Linked DNA regions of Lepisosteus oculatus. The protein of the gene in region 2 purifies or fractionates together with the protein of the main gene of each other region. This does not show direct contact. Links are inferred from orthologs where the notes say so. Each region holds a gene or a part of one and is shown on either strand. Other genes may lie near its edges.

Region 1 (7,664 bases), on a different chromosome or scaffold from region 2:
CGCCTGCAGAGCTCCGACTCGCGATCACACGCCCCCCGATGCCTCTAATTCTCACACGCACAGATGCACAGCCAGTATCGGCTCCGACCGACCCCCCCCCTCAGCGCGACCCGGGACCCCTGCCTCTTCCGCCTCCAGCCCACTCTCGCCAGCCTTCACTCCACGCACCCCGAACGTCATGTCGCGATACCACAGGCGGGTCGTGAGCGGCTGGGGGCCACATCTCCCGGCGCAGACCAACTGGGCTCGCCGCCGTCCCCGGCCCGACTCCCCGACACCAGCCACGCGTGTCTCCGCGAACACCCACCCGGGGCGAACGAGAAAGGCGCTCCCTACCTGCAGATGGATTAAGGGGTTTGGCAGTGCAGCTCAGGCTCCGCAGAGTGTTGTGGGCTCCACCGCCTCGCCGTCGGAAAACAGGAAGAGCGGCGCGATGACGTCGAAAACAGGCGACGGATTGGTTGAGGGGAGAGGAGGGGTAGAAGCCTGTGAAGGGGGGTGTAGGCTCAGACATCTGGGGGCAGCCTCGATGTGCAGGGCCAGTGTGTGTGAGTGTGAGTGCTCGGCAGTGAGTGTGTCAGCGTGTCAGTGCGTCAGGCAGTGTGAGTGTGTCAGTGTGTGTGCGTCAGTGTGTCAGTGTGTGTGTCATTGTGACAGTGTGAGTGTGTCAGTGTGTCAGTGTGTGTGTCAGTGTGACAGTGTGAGTGTCAGGCAGTACAGTCACAATTTCCAGCCCAGTTCTGTTTGGAGAAGTTTATTGCCTGCAGTCAGTTCAGTGCACAGGCACCATGTTCTCCACTACAGGTCAAAAATGAAACAAAAAGCTGAATGGTTTTAATTCCAGAAACAGAAAATGACATGATAACTGACCACTCGGCCTTCTACCTGTTCTGTACATCAACGCAACGATCTTTATATTCATCTTCTATTCCTCTTCCCTTTGAAGCACAACAGCTAGGTGCCCCTCATGGAACACCCCATTTTGGGGGTGTCCCTTGCTCCATTCGGACACGGCCCTCTCGCAGCAGTCTGTACAGGTGCTGATTGGCTGTTTTTTTGGGGACCCCCAGTTTCCGGGCGATGAGCGCAGCCGGGGCAGTGGTCCCCGACGGAAGGCCCTCCAGCACCCCCAGCACGTCCTGGGGCTCGCGGCGGGTCCCCTCCCCCAGGGCCAGGTGCTGGAAGCTGGCTGCCAGAGCGTGGGCCTCCCCCGGGCCAGCTGGCTGAGGCCGGGGCACAGGGCCACTGGGAAAGAGGCAGACAGGGAGAGAGGGGGAGGAGGGGTGGGGAGGGAGAGAGAGGGAGGAGGAGAGGGAGGGAGGAGGAGAGAGAGGGAGAGAGGGAGGGAGGAGGGGTGAGGAGAGAGAGGAGGGAGAGGCAGTGAGGAGGAGGAGGGAGGGGGAGGGAGAGAGAGGGAGGGAGGAGGGGTGAGGAGAGAGAGGAGGGAGAGGCAGTGAGGAGGAGGAGGGAGGGGGAGGGAGAGAGAGGGAGGGAGGGAGGAGGGGTGAGGAGAGAGAGGGAGAGAGGAGGGGTGGGGGGAGAGAGGGAGGGAGGAGGAGAGGAGGGGTGGGGAGAGAGAGGGAGGAGGGGTGGGGGGAGAGAGGGAGAGACGGAGGGAGGAGGGGTGAGGAGAGAGAGGCAGTGAGGAGGAGGGAGGGGGAAAGTGAGAGAGGATAGAGGGAGGGAGGAGGGGTGAGGAGAGAGAGGGAGGGAGGAGGGGTGAGGAGAGGGAGAGGCAGGGGGGAGGAGTGAGGAGAGAGAGGAGGAAGACGAGAGTGCTGAGCAGAGACACAGGACCGCTCTCCCTCTCTCTGCCTGGCACACCCACAGCCCCGCCCATCGCCTCGGCAGCGACGGCTCACGCCCACGTAACCATGGCAGCAGTCTGCCCCCAGTCTCTCCGCTAGTTCAGCCAGTCAGCGCTCAGGGCCTCATGCCGGCTGCCCCCGTCTACATACCTGTCCCTCCCGTTCGTGGCCGCAGTGTGCACGCCCGGCCTGCAGGGGGCGGCGGTGCGCGGCCCCTCTGCCCCCTCGCCCTGTGTCTGGCTGGGCAGCCTCCACAGCACGGGGGGCCCCTCCGTCTTGTCCACCTGGCCCCCGCGCAGCAGCGAGTACAGCTGCTGGTTTGCCGACTTCCGCGAGACGCCGAGCTCGCGGGCGATCCGGTGCGCGGGCAGCCCCCCGCCGGGGCCCGCCGACAGGAGGACCTTCAGGACGCTCTGAGGGTCCGGGGGCCCGGGTTCAGGGGACGCCCCGGTGGTCGCGCGTGGCTCCGGTTCCGAGCCCGCCAGGCTCCACAGCGGCGGCTCTGTCCTGGTCCGGCGGACCGCGCCGCCCCTCTCCAGCTCGTACAGCGCTCGGTTGACATCCCCGACCGGGGGGCCCCCGAGGGCCGCCGCGATCTCCCCAGCCGCGTGGCCCCTCTCGCCTCCCTGCGCCCCTGTCCGCAGGAACGCACACACGCGGCCCCCGACGTCCCCCTCGGACGCAGACATCCCTCTCCAGGGCGGGGCTCTGGAGAAGACCCCCACAGAACCGTCACCCAGAGTCACAGCACCTGCGCAGAGCAAGAGCTGTCAAGAACCAGACAGAGACAGAGAGAGAGAGGAGTGGACAGACAGAGACACAGGGAGGGAGAGAGAGAGGAGTGGACAGACAGAGACACGGGGGGGGGGGAGAGAGGAGTGGACCAACAGAGACACGGGGGGGGGGAGAGAGAGAAAGAGGAGTGGACCAACAGAGACACAGGGGGGGAGAGAGAGAGAGAAAGAGGAGTGGACAGACAGAGACACATGGAGACAGGAGTGGATCGACAGAGACACAGGGAGAGAGAGGAGTGGACAGAGACACAGGGAGAGAGAGAGAGGAGTGGACAGACAGAGACACAGGGAGAAAGAGAGAGAGGAGTGGACTGACAGAGACACAGGGAGAGAGACAGGAGTGGACCGACAGAGACACAGAGAAGGATGCTGCTATAGTGAGGATCACAGCAGGAGAAAGACAAGCAGGTGGGAAGAGATCAGTCCTGAAACAGCCAGTCTTCACCCACCCCGTGTCCCAGCGCAGACTGGACTCGCTCATTTCCCCCTCTACAGCGAGCGGGAAACGAGACTGCTCCCCGGAGGAAAAAAAAAAACTAAAATAAAGTCGTTTAAAATCTTCCACAACTAAAAATAATAAAAACACAAACGCCTCCCTCGCCGAGAGTCTGAGCGAGTGACCCGGAAGGGCTCCCCCACAGCGCCCCCGTGTGGCCAGCAGGGCGAATGTCTCTATTCGCCGTGAAGCGCGTTTTGTAGCTAACCATTAATTCTAATCGTGATTGTTCATTAAAATTACATCAACGAGGGGAACAAGAGCGCTGATAAGACGTTCAGAACAGCAGTAAAATCACAAGGAAAAATAACAAAGAAAAATAAAAGAGAGGTAGGTGTCCAGAAAAGCGCTATATAAGTGTAAGCAATTATTATTATTATTATTATTGTTATTATTTGCATTCCTTTATTGCACTTATTTACCGAGTCTCGCCATCGTGATTCCTCTGGTGCCGTACCGTATAATACCACATAATTATAATGTTAAGAAGAAGATAATAAGGCTCCACAGCCGAAACGTTTCCTTTTCTTCTCTTTTCAGCATGGAATAAACCTTTGCTGGTTCCTTAGAAGCCTACGATTGATGACACAGCTCCCTACTTGAACTTCCACACGACAACAACAACAATAATAATAAATCCTTACACGTATATGGCGCCTTTCTCAGTCCGCTCAAAGTGCTTCACAGGTCATGGGGACTCCCCTCCACCAGCACCAGTTAGTAGCCCCACCGGGATAATAATAATAATAATAATAATAATAATAATAATAATAATAATAATAATAATAATAATAATAATAATAATTGCTTACACTTATATAGCGCTTTTCTGGACACTCCACTCAAAGCGCTTTACAGGTAATGGGGATCCCCTCCAACACCACCAATGTGCAGCCCCACCTGGATGATGCGATGGCAGCCATAGCGCGCCAGAACACTCCCCACACAGCAGCTCTCAGTGGGGAGGAGAGCAGAGCGATGGAGCCAGTTCAGAGAGGGGGATTATTAGGAGGCCATGATTGGTAAGGGCCAATGGGAAATTTGACCAGGGATGTACCTCAGCCTAATCCAGATGTTTCTACGACAGGTTTCACACAACATTAACATACAGAGGAACACTTTTACCTGTGTGAAAAGTATTTCAGGTGTGTGCATGACTGCTTTTTATATTACGTGTTGTTTCTATGCTGTAAAATGAGATTAATACGTGGCTCATCTGAAAAATGAAAATGGTTAGCAGAGGATGGTTTCGATCCATCGACCTCTGGGTTATGGGCCCAGCACGCTTCCGCTGCGCCACTCTGCTAGACGCTTGCACTGGTGAAAAGTCACTCGCTTTGTTATTGTCCGAGTGTGTTCTGCAGTGCTGCGCTCTAGTGGTCATCATTCGAAAGTGCATCAGAGACTATTAGACGAGAACCAATCATGTGGGATGTTTGCCTGCGAGCCCCGCCCCCTACCCCACCTCACCAATCGCCTCTTGCTGTTGAAAAGCGTTTGGCGCCTGTGATTGGTTCCCTGGGTTGTCGATCTCGTTCGGAGACGCTGTTTCCCTGGGTAGTGAAGCAACGCCAGCGGACAGGTCGGCGGCCGAAGATTTCTCTTTGTGGCTTCCCTCAAGTTGTCAAGACGTCGTACGCAATGAGGTACAGTAATTCAAAGGAGATGGAAGGGAAAACTGTTTTTTTCTGTGCGCAATCTGACAACGCGGTGTGTCCTGGCAGAACTGAAATCCGGCTTCTCAAGTAGGCCTCATATCAGGCCTCGGGTCTCGAGTTAGCTAGCGTACCCGTGTCGGATCGGGGGTGTGTGCGCGCGTGCGTGGGCTCTGCATGTTATCGCTAAAACCCAAGTTGAAACTGCGTCCCCTTCGAATTCCATTTCCTGGCGTTTAGTGACAAGATGTGTAAAAGGAAAATGGCGTTTTTTTTAAAACAAAAGCTCTCGGAAGAGGGTGTTGTGCCGGGCGCTGGATGAATGAATGGCTGTAATCGAGCGGCCGGTCTGGGGCCTGCTCTTTGTTACCCACCGTGCCGGTTTCCACACGGCGCCGACCGGCAGTGCACCGAGGCCGGTGTGTGCTTCGTGACCTGGCCGCCGAGGTGCGGGCGAACCGAGGGTCTGTATGCCCGACGAGTGCCAAGGCACGTTCCTGCCTCCAACACCGTGCGGCTGTCCGGCATCGGGGGTCCCAGTCTCTGCGTGCCGGCTGGTTAGTGGCTTATCCTACCGGCCAGGGTGCTGGGGGGGGCTTGAGGTCAAAGATCCATGAACCTAGTGTCGGAGGGCCGTCTGGAATCGCCCTGTGAGGCACTGAGCCCGCGGGACTCGTGCAGGATGATCTGTGAATGAACCGACTGGCGACCACAGAGAAATTCAGAACAGGTGGCCTTTCCTTACACAAAGGGGGGTGTGTGTGTGGAACAAGCTGCAGGGGGTCAGTTAGCTACTAAATACCCAGCGGCTGGGCGGGCCCTGTGGCTCCACTCTGTAACGACCCCTTACATCCTCAAGACACGGGATCTTTATCGTGGTCTTGTGCAGCTCTACTGTTCACTTCAGTTCACGCACAGTTACCCTGCTGGCAGCCCACCGGAGCTCAGCATCCATCTCTGGAGGGGAGACCTCCTGGGAAAGCTGAGGCTGCAGCTGGAAGAGGTGTTAGTGGGACCAGCAGGGGGCGCTCACCCTGCGGTCTGTGTGGGTCCTAATGGCCCGGTACAGTGACGGGGACACTATACTGTAAATAGGCGCTGTCCTTCGGATGAGATGTAAAACCGAGGTCCTGACTCTCTGTGGTCATTAAAAATCCCAGGGCATTTCTCCAAAAGAGTAGGGGTGTTACCCCGGAGTCCTGGAGGTGCTACAGTCCGTCATGGAATTAACCAGGTGGACCGATCGTGTGACTGGAGCACCTGGTCTTCTGCAGGCGCGGTGGGGCTCACTCGAGCTTGCGTCTCTCTGCGCGGAGAGCAGAGGGGTGGCCTCGCTGCTCTGGTCCCGACTGGCCTGGTGGAGGCGGCTGGCTGGGTGTCTCTCCAATCCAGTGATGGAAGCATCTAACATCTCTCTCTCTCTCTCTCCAGAGGCGACAGGGGGCGGGGCCGGGGGGGCCGGTTTGGAGCCCGCGGAGGGCTGGCGCAGGGGTGAGTAGCTGCTGGTGGGGGGGACGTGCTTACTGTACCTGTGCAAGCAGTCGGACACCCCGTCGGTGGCAGACTGATCCACTCCGGGTTTTACAGTGTTGTTAATCAGACTCCTGGCATCCAGCAGTGCGCTCCAGTCTGGGGGCTAACAGTGTAGTTAATCACACCACAGTGCGCTGCAGTCCGGGGGTTAACAGTGTAGTTAATCACACCACAGTGTGCTGCAGTCCGGGGGTTAACAGTGTAGTTAATCACACCACAGTGCGCTGCAGTCTGGGGTTAACAGTGTAGTTAATCACACCACAGTGCGCTGCAGTCTGGGGTTAACAGTGTAGTTAATCACACCACAGTGCGCTGCAGTCTGGGGTTAACAGTGTAGTTAATCACACCACAGTGCGCTGCAGTCCGGGGGCTAACAGTGTAGTTAATCACACCACAGTGCGCTGCAGTCTGGGGTTAACAGTGTAGTTAATCACACCACAGTGTGCTGCAGTCCGGGGGCTAACAGTGTAGTTAATCACACCACAGTGCGCTGCAGTCTGGGGTTAACAGTGTAGTTAATCACACCACAGTGCGCTGCAGTCTGGGGGCTAACAGTGTAGTTAATCACACCACAGTGCGCTGCAGTCTGGGGGCTAACAGTGTAGTTAATCACACCACAGTGCGCTGCAGTCTGGGGTTAACAGTGTAGTTAATCACACCACAGTGCGCTGCAGTCCGGGGGCTAACAGTGTAGTTAAGCACACCACAGTGTGCTGCAGTCCGGGGGTTAACAGTGTAGTTAATCACACCACAGTGCGCTGCAGTCTGGGGTTAACAGTGTAGTTAATCACACCACAGTGCGCTGCAGTCTGGGGTTAACAGTGTAGTTAATCACACCACAGTGTGCTGCAGTCCGGGGGTTAACAGTGTAGTTAATCACACCACAGTGCGCTGCAGTCTGGGGTTAACAGTGTAGTTAATCACACCACAGTGCGCTGCAGTCTGGGGGCTAACAGTGTAGTTAATCACACCACAGTGCGCTGCAGTCTGGGGGTTAACAGTGTAGTTAATCACACCACAGTGCGCTGCAGTCTGGGGTTAACAGTGTAGTTAAGCACACCACAGTGCGCTGCAGTCTGGGGCTAACAGTGTAGTTAATCACACCACAGTGCGCTGCAGTCCGGGGGCTAACAGTGTAGTTAATCACACCACAGTGCGCTGCAGTCTGGGGTTAACAGTGTAGTTAATCACACCACAGTGTGCTGCAGTCTGGGGTTAACAGTGTAGTTAATCACACCACAGTGCGCTGCAGTCCGGGGGCTAACAGTGTAGTTAATCACACCACAGTGCGCTGCAGTCCGGGGGCTAACAGTGTAGTTAATCACACCACAGTGCGCTGCAGTCTGGGGTTAACAGTGTAGTTAATCACACCACAGTG
Region 2 (7,456 bases):
GACCTCTTCCCCACTGCTGTCTCTCAAACCCACTGTGCCGCTTCCCTGCACCCCAGCCTGCGCGAGGAAAGCCAGGGGAAGCCATGTGGCACGTGAAATGGAGAGTCCGGAGGTTCGCTAGGCGACACCATTTTCAAGAAAACACCCACTGCGGTCTCTGCATTAATTCACCAGGAAAGGGTTTCATAAATAGCCTCGATTCACGATCACGTCGGGCGCTGGAGAATATTTTGTTAGGCGAAGGTATACATTTAGGAATGAGAGCAGGATGCCAGATGTGAGCGAACAAAAACAATTTATTCAAAAAATGTTTTCAGTTTTATGCACAGACATCCCCACCTCTCCTCTTGTCACCCTAACCATCAGAACAAACGAAAGTCCCTGAAGCACCCCAAATTCAGAGCCCACCACACACACCAAATATTTAAAATGCACACGTGCTTGCTAAAATTAATGCAAAACCTGCCTCATTTCCTGCTAACGCCCCAGTATTGCCTTGGTGAAAATATCAGCAGGCCTGTGCCTCACTTGGTTTTAAAATCCACACGAAGACCACAGACTGGCTTGTAAAGTTAATTTGTTAGGTTGATTTTTAGTTAGAGGGAAATCAGATGTCAAATACATAAATGATCATTGATAGATTATATTCATTTCAAAAGACTTGGCAGACTGATGTGTTTTTTTTTAAAAAATAAAACAACGAAACACAGCAGGTAGTCCACATGAATAACTGTTGTTCAAGCAGAGGGAGTTGCAAATTCTTTACCTTTGTCTTTTCGGGACTGAGTGTTCCACCTCTATAACTTTTCCGTGGAGTTCTACTTTACCTTGAAAACAAATTAAAAAAACAAAAAAAAATAAGTTTTGCTGTGCCAGTAAAGCGGGAAAATGCACTGTAGGAGAAAATGGAGAGATGGCTTTTCAGAGAATATCGATAATTTCAGTCATCACTCGGCCTTTTAAAATGTTAATTAACTCCCATCGTCATGTTAAGCGTAAGATTTAAAAAAACAACACGAACAAAGTGTGGTCTAATTTACACTTTTCACAAGTGAAGTACAACAGCTATGGCTGACGAATTGCCCCGCGGAAATATCCACAACAAAGTACAAGACGACTATTTGAGTGGCTTTGTAAATTGAGGTTGAATATTTTTTACACAGTCATATAAATCCTATTTTTTAGAGATTAGTTTCCACCAAAAGGTATTCGATTCGAATTTACAAGCTGTGTTTTTTTCTTTAAATTCGTTACAAAAAATCCCTTAAGTATTTGATCCTTTCGTTACGTTGTAGCAATGCACAATAAGACACAGGACCTACCACCAGTGTAGCCACGCTACTCTAAACAAAACACATTTAAAAACATTTTTTTTAAGTTAGATATATCAGTTTTCTCGAAAAAGACAATTCTGTAGAGGGTGGTATTTATTTGAACGAAGCCCGATATAAAAAATGCGGGGAAAAAAAAACTTCAGGCTTGTTTGAGAACCTATAAATATAGTAATTAAAATTTGTTTAGAAGGTAAATACTTTGCATAAGTACACTGTTCTCTGTCATCGGCCTTCTTGGCCCGCTGGTTATTTGTACGTAAAATGCAGCAGCTCAGGCGCTCAGCTTCCTCGGCCCCCGGTAATTGATAATTGAAACTTGTTGTATGAGCCTAACAATCGCAGTGCTTATTTTCAATTGTAATCAGAACATGGACTGCTAACTGAGCCCCGTGCGCCGGGCTCCAGACCTGCCGAGGTCGGTAGTGTACGAGACAAGGGGAGCCTAGGTACCCACACACACATATATACACACACACGCCTCGTTTCAATGAGCACGGATCTTTCTTATTTAAAACGATCGCCGCAGCAATTAGCAAAAACAAAACACACTCTTGAGCACTCGGTTTCCACCCAGGTTCGCCGGCGGTTGGTCTTCTTTCTTACCTGAGAGCGTGTCGATGGCCTTCATAGCACCCTTCTCATCAGGGCAGTCCACAAACGCGTAACCAGTCTTGACGAGAAACGGGCCACTACAAGGAATCTTCCACTCCTGAAAGAGACTTTCCAACTCGACGGGACTCGCGTCTTCACTCAAGTTACCGATATAAAGCTTATTCATGGTGTGCTGCACGGCGAAAATGCAAACCTTTCAGAAAAAAGGCAGACTTATGCGCTCAGATGTACAGCCTTTTTTTTCTCTCTTTTTTGTGAAACGGACTTCTACCAACCAGAGTGTTATTTATATAGAGTATATTTATATATGGATGTTTCACGCGCGCACTCTTCCCCCAGGATAAGTTAACAAGAATATTTTATAACAGCCTTTCCTAAGGATGGCGGGCTTGGCGAAAAGGAGGAGAAAACTACTTTTTGTCGTCCTCCGAACCCCCTTAGCAGACAGACTGTGAAAATGTCACACACGTTAATGTAGGCGCCGCCTCTAAATAAAACCGAGAGGAAAAATCACTTGAATATTCCGGCTTTTTGAATGAGCCACGTGTTCAAACTACAAATCAACTTCTCACGTGAGGAATCCCAGTTCCTCAATTAAATACTAGATTGGGGAAAATGCCACGGGAGTCGGGTGGGGACAGGGGAGGGGGAGCTGGGAAGAGGATTAGTACTGGAAAACCTACGTACATTAAGGATATCTTGTGTGGTGCCGTATCGCTCTTGGATCTCATGCGGGTGCCTTTCTCTCGGTGCTCCGCTTCTCATTGGCTGCTGGCCGAAACAGTGGAGCCGCGTCGCGGGCGAGGGTCTGGGCCGGCCGGCCTGCCAGGGGCTGGGGGGGCGCTGCACGGCGGCGGGGGAGGGGGCGCGCCGCGGGCGCCCTATAGGAGAGCGCCTATAGGCGTGTGCGAGGGCCACGGCTGTGGTGATGTGTTCTCCCTCGCCTGCTGGGGGCGAGAGGCGTCTTCTCCAGCCCCCTCACCCGCGGGCATGCATCTCCACGCGTGAGGCGGGTGTCGCCGTGAGCAGAATCAAACCACATTTTTAAAAGCGTCGCTCTTCCTTCCTTCCCAATGGAGGAGCCGAGCGCCTCGGCCAACGACCGGCTTGTGACGCTGCCCAGTGCCCGTATAGCCGGAACTCAAAACACGGGTCCGACTGTTCCTCCTCACCGTCGGGCCCCCCGCCACAGCAACCATTTCCCGAGTGGGAAGGGCGTGCTGGGGCTCTGCTCTGCTCGCCTCCGCCGCACAGTCGTTTCTGGGGGGGTGGGGAAGGGGCTGAATCCCTCTGAATTACTTCTGCTCGATTCATAGCTAGACGACATTAATCTTCCTCGTAAGTAAAAGGTTGTGGCGCACATTCTAAAACAACTGCGTCTGCGTGTACCCAAACGCACAGTGCTAGTTTCAGACATTCTTTCAAGAGCAGGAATATAACCCCGATCTATAGCAGTGGGATTCGTCCGAGTACTTCCAGGTTATAAAATAAAAATAACCTTTTAGATTTCGATACTAAAAACAGGCCCATTTTGCATAAATAAAGCGGTACCTCAACGATAGTGTGACCATATGGTAAATGCAGTACTTTCTCTGGGAACAATTCCTCCGCTTTAGTGTGTATAAGTATTTTCTGCGAGGCCGACACGTCGTGAAGGGTTTGGGGTGGGAGGGGGAGGGATACTGTAGCCTGTGTGTGTGTTTCTGATCTCCACAACACGCATTGCCCAAGTCTCCTCTTTAGGCCTTTTCGCGTACGAATAGGCCACGAACATATTCATGTACGCGTACGTGTGGCTGTAGCCGACGTGCCCTTATGCGGGGACGCCGTCTTGGTGGTGGTGGTGGTGGGGATACTCTGCTCTGGGAGCAGCAGCAGTACAGTCAGGGTTCCTGTCTTCCCCTCCGCGGCCTCCATTGTAGCCGAGCCCAGCGCAGACAATGCAGGACTGTGACAAACCAGAGCCCGGCGCGCAGCTCATCAGGCCCCTCCGCTCCGTCCAAGAAAGGGCGGCCGCGGAGCGCCAAGGCCAGTGGTGGCTGGGGACACGGGTGAGAGAGAGGGGAGCGAAAACAGGTTCATGTGTATCGAGCCGTGAGCGAGCGAGCGAGGATCTGTAGCTGGGCTCCCTTTCTTTGCACACGGCTGAACAGAGTCGCGTCGTTTCAGTGAAACACTGGTGGGGATGTGTGTATTTGTGAATAAGAGACAAGGCGACGAGGGCGGTTTAATGAAAAACAATCATTCGTTCATTCCAGTTTCTTTAGCGGGATCGTGCCTTCAGTGCCCCTTTGAGGCTGTACATTTCCAAGTAGTTCAACGTGCTCAAAGGTAATGCGGTTAACTCCGGGAAAAACTCCCTTTTTTAAAAAAGAAAAACAACACATAATGTAGCAAGTGTGGGGAAAGAGGAAATTACCTGTCAAATCTGTTCACAAAAATAAGACAGTCTCTTAAGAGATCTGAGAGGTCAGGTGCTGGCACGACATAGTTATTGCTAGTAAAAGGATATTTTATATTTAACTCGTAGATCTACAAAACCTTGTTTCAGTGCACGATGTAGTTTACCGGTGGCTCTGAAATATACGATGCAAAGTTGAATTCTACACCGCATAACTCGGTATCGCCTGTCCAAATATACAGTACATGGGTGATTTATTTTGAAATCGTCTCCATTTCGATGTTTTTGAGAACAGCGTGCGTGATTAAAAACGCTTCAGTTTTCTTCCAGTTTCAGACAACTAGTAGTTCCCGTGCTAGTAAATATTCCCGCACTTCTAGATGAGCCACACGGGTGATGGCTTTGTCTTGCCAGTGTGCCAGTTTGTCTGGGGTGGCAGTGCCCTACCAAGACTAAAGGGGTTCACAGCTTTCCAAGACACGTTGACCGTTTGCTCGTTTAAAGTTTTTTTTTCCCCCCTAATTAAGGGGGGATTCGTGGAGGGCTGACGGTGGCAGTGGATAATAACGCTCACAAATCACAGCACCCTCGCAGCTGCCTGCGTGGAAGGCTCGGCGCCTCGGCCTCCAGACGCCCTGACCCGCAGGGCGGGCACCGCAGACGCCCCCGGCTCTCGGGTCCATCGCCCATCGCGGATGATCGCCACCGAATATCGAACGAGGGAGGCGCAGGGAAAGCTGGAGAAGAAGCCCACATAATTCGGCATACAACACGTCGAATCCTGCATCTTAGAATATTACTGTTGAAGTATTTGGATTGTTAAAATGGCAGGCTTTTTATAACATGTTATTTTCTTTCTTGGCTAAGAGAAGATGTTCAGTTATTTCTGCTCTGGTGTTGTGTGTAATTAGTTGATAAACAGGCTTCTGCGGAGACACAGAACTTGCATTTACTGCGAAACGTCGCATATAACGCGCATGTGGAGACTTATATGTAGGCTACGTGTTCGTCTGAAAATGCTGACAGCTGACAGCACCGCGGAGAGACTACAGGGCGGTTCACGGTTTTGTGAGACGTTCTGAAGCATGGGAATGAGCAGCAGAGCGTTTCCCCTCGGCAGACATGTCTGTGCACCGAGTCAGTCACAGCAGCGCTCATCCCCGACATGGGCGCCCTGATCTGCCGGTGATGTCACAGCGGACCGCGCATTCCATCACCAGGAGCCATCTTGCCCCACGCCGCGTGCTCTGCGCCGCTTTCCAGACGGCTGGCGCGGGACCCGAACCCGATTTGTCCACGACACGCGCGTTCGATGCTGCCCGGGAGTGTGTCTGGTGCAGTTCGCTAGCCTGTATCCTGATCCTCGCACACATGTAGGTCACCTGTAGCTGCTGCGTTCCTACTCAGAAATACAAAATGTCTTGCGCTGCTGTGCTTCAGAGTGTATGACACTCTCGCCCAGGTGCGGTGCTTTAAACATGAGCTGACAAAACGTTTCTTAAATTGCATGATCGGGATATAAATGACACCTATTGACGGTGCACGTCCCGTGTCTCTTTGAAAGGTGCAATCGCAAAGCCCAGCCCTTCTCGCTCGTTTGAAAAGAGCCTCTCCCCCGGCTCCCATGAAGCAGAATGAGCAAGTAAGGACTAATAACTGATATTAACCGTCTGGACGACCCAATTACGTCTCCGCTGCTGGGGGCCCTTTCATCTCGTCTTCGGGCGCGTTTAGGGACGAGGCCCTTCGCCACCCTTGTGAGAGGGGTGAACCCGGGTCCCGCAGGCCTGGACCGTGCCACAGGCCCGCCCGGCCCCCCGCGCCTGGCGGTCTTCTTTCTCCACTGACCGCTTCCCGTTCTTCCCGGGATATCGACCCGGCTCCGGGCACATTGGGGACCTGTGGGTTCGTCTCACAGCTCCGTGTCGAGCGTGGCAGCGGCCAGCCGTGGGGGAGAAGAGGGAGTCTCCTGGAGGAATCGCCAGCGGTTCTCCAGCCGCCCTCTGAAGGCCGGGGCCCTCGTCTGGCTCGTCCTGACGAGTCAGGTCATTGGCAGCCCATCGGGTCCTGTATCGGTCCCGTGAGCAGGCCCGGCCGCGGGTTCAGACCACTGCCGCCGCCGTTAGGAGCGGACATTCAACTTCCGCTGTTTCAAAACGGATGAGGAACAAGAAATGCTAACAGTTCAAGATAGCTGTGTCTTTTAATAAGATATTTTAAGTATGTGTGAGACCATGTGCAAAGGCTAGAATGAAACCACTCAGGCTGAATATTCAATATATTTTTGAAAGATTTTGAAAGAAAGATCAAATTATCTACGTAGCATTCAAGCTTTACGACGAAAAGACATCGCTACGGGTAGTCTGGTGTCAACAGAACAAATGTAAATAGAAAAGCACTACAACTTCAACGACGTACCTTGTGATTTTCCAGTTATTAAATAAGTATTCCACATATTAAACCAAATATTCTGCTGTCTGTTCTGCAAAGCCAGGGACTTGTGCTTCGGTGTTCTAAAGATTTGAAAATGTGCTTGAACACACTGTTCTGCAATTAGAGCTTGTTGTGGAGCCTTGCGTTGTATCTTACAGAAATAACGCGTACATGGATTTTATTAAATAACCGGAAACTGCGCAAACCAATCTTTAAATAGCACTTGGATCTATACTGTTGGGATTTTATTTTCCTATACGAGTACTCTGCCTTTTGGGGAACTGCGGGAACTTGAGCCGTTGTCTCCCAGACCGAAGTTTGATACTCTCCCCTTCACACGGAGCTGGAGCAGGTAAGCGGCCCGTGTCCAAGTGGATGAAACTAGGTCCGGTCTGGAGCAAGCAGAGGTTAATACTGTAGAGAAGACCCCGTCCGAGCTGTACAGACACCTGCACCTTCTCCGTCTCCCTCACGCCCGGGGAAGAACGTCTGCGTGGGGTTTTTTTTTTCTTTGTATTGTCAGGCGTGGAAGTCTACTTTTCAGAGAACACGAGTGTTACCACGCAGCCCCCCCGAGAAGAAGAGGAAACTGCTTCACACAGGCGCCGCAGCAGCGGGAGAGGAAAAGCTCGTCCTCTGCGCGCACAGCACCCACCCTGCCGCCAGGGCGGGGAGG

Evidence for each region. The genes of interacting proteins can lie anywhere in the genome.
Region 1: the proteins of igf2bp3 (region 2) and ilf2 purify together in Homo sapiens (affinity purification with mass spectrometry; 3 studies listed by BioGRID and IntAct, counting the BioPlex papers as one, with this or other methods). This does not show direct contact. The link is inferred for Lepisosteus oculatus from reciprocal best matches to the Homo sapiens genes IGF2BP3 and ILF2.

Annotation. Positions count from the first base shown.
Region 1 is NC_090722.1:6,551,763-6,559,426, reverse strand, and holds the start of ilf2 (interleukin enhancer-binding factor 2 homolog), read left to right. Parts: upstream 1-4,625; 5' UTR 4,626-4,739; coding exon 4,740-4,744; intron 4,745-6,184; coding exon 6,185-6,244; intron 6,245-7,664. Other genes in the region: adar (double-stranded RNA-specific adenosine deaminase), read right to left, coding at 337-514; uncharacterized protein, read right to left, coding at 966-1,245, 1,959-2,497. UniProt on the Homo sapiens protein: Chromatin-interacting protein that forms a stable heterodimer with interleukin enhancer-binding factor 3/ILF3 and plays a role in several biological processes including transcription, innate immunity or cell growth.
Region 2 is NC_090705.1:1,201,556-1,209,011, reverse strand, and holds the start of igf2bp3 (insulin-like growth factor 2 mRNA-binding protein 3), read right to left. Parts: upstream 3,042-7,456; 5' UTR 2,712-3,041; coding exon 2,634-2,711; intron 2,140-2,633; coding exon 1,938-2,139; intron 828-1,937; coding exon 767-827; intron 1-766. UniProt on the Homo sapiens protein: RNA-binding factor that may recruit target transcripts to cytoplasmic protein-RNA complexes (mRNPs). This transcript 'caging' into mRNPs allows mRNA transport and transient storage.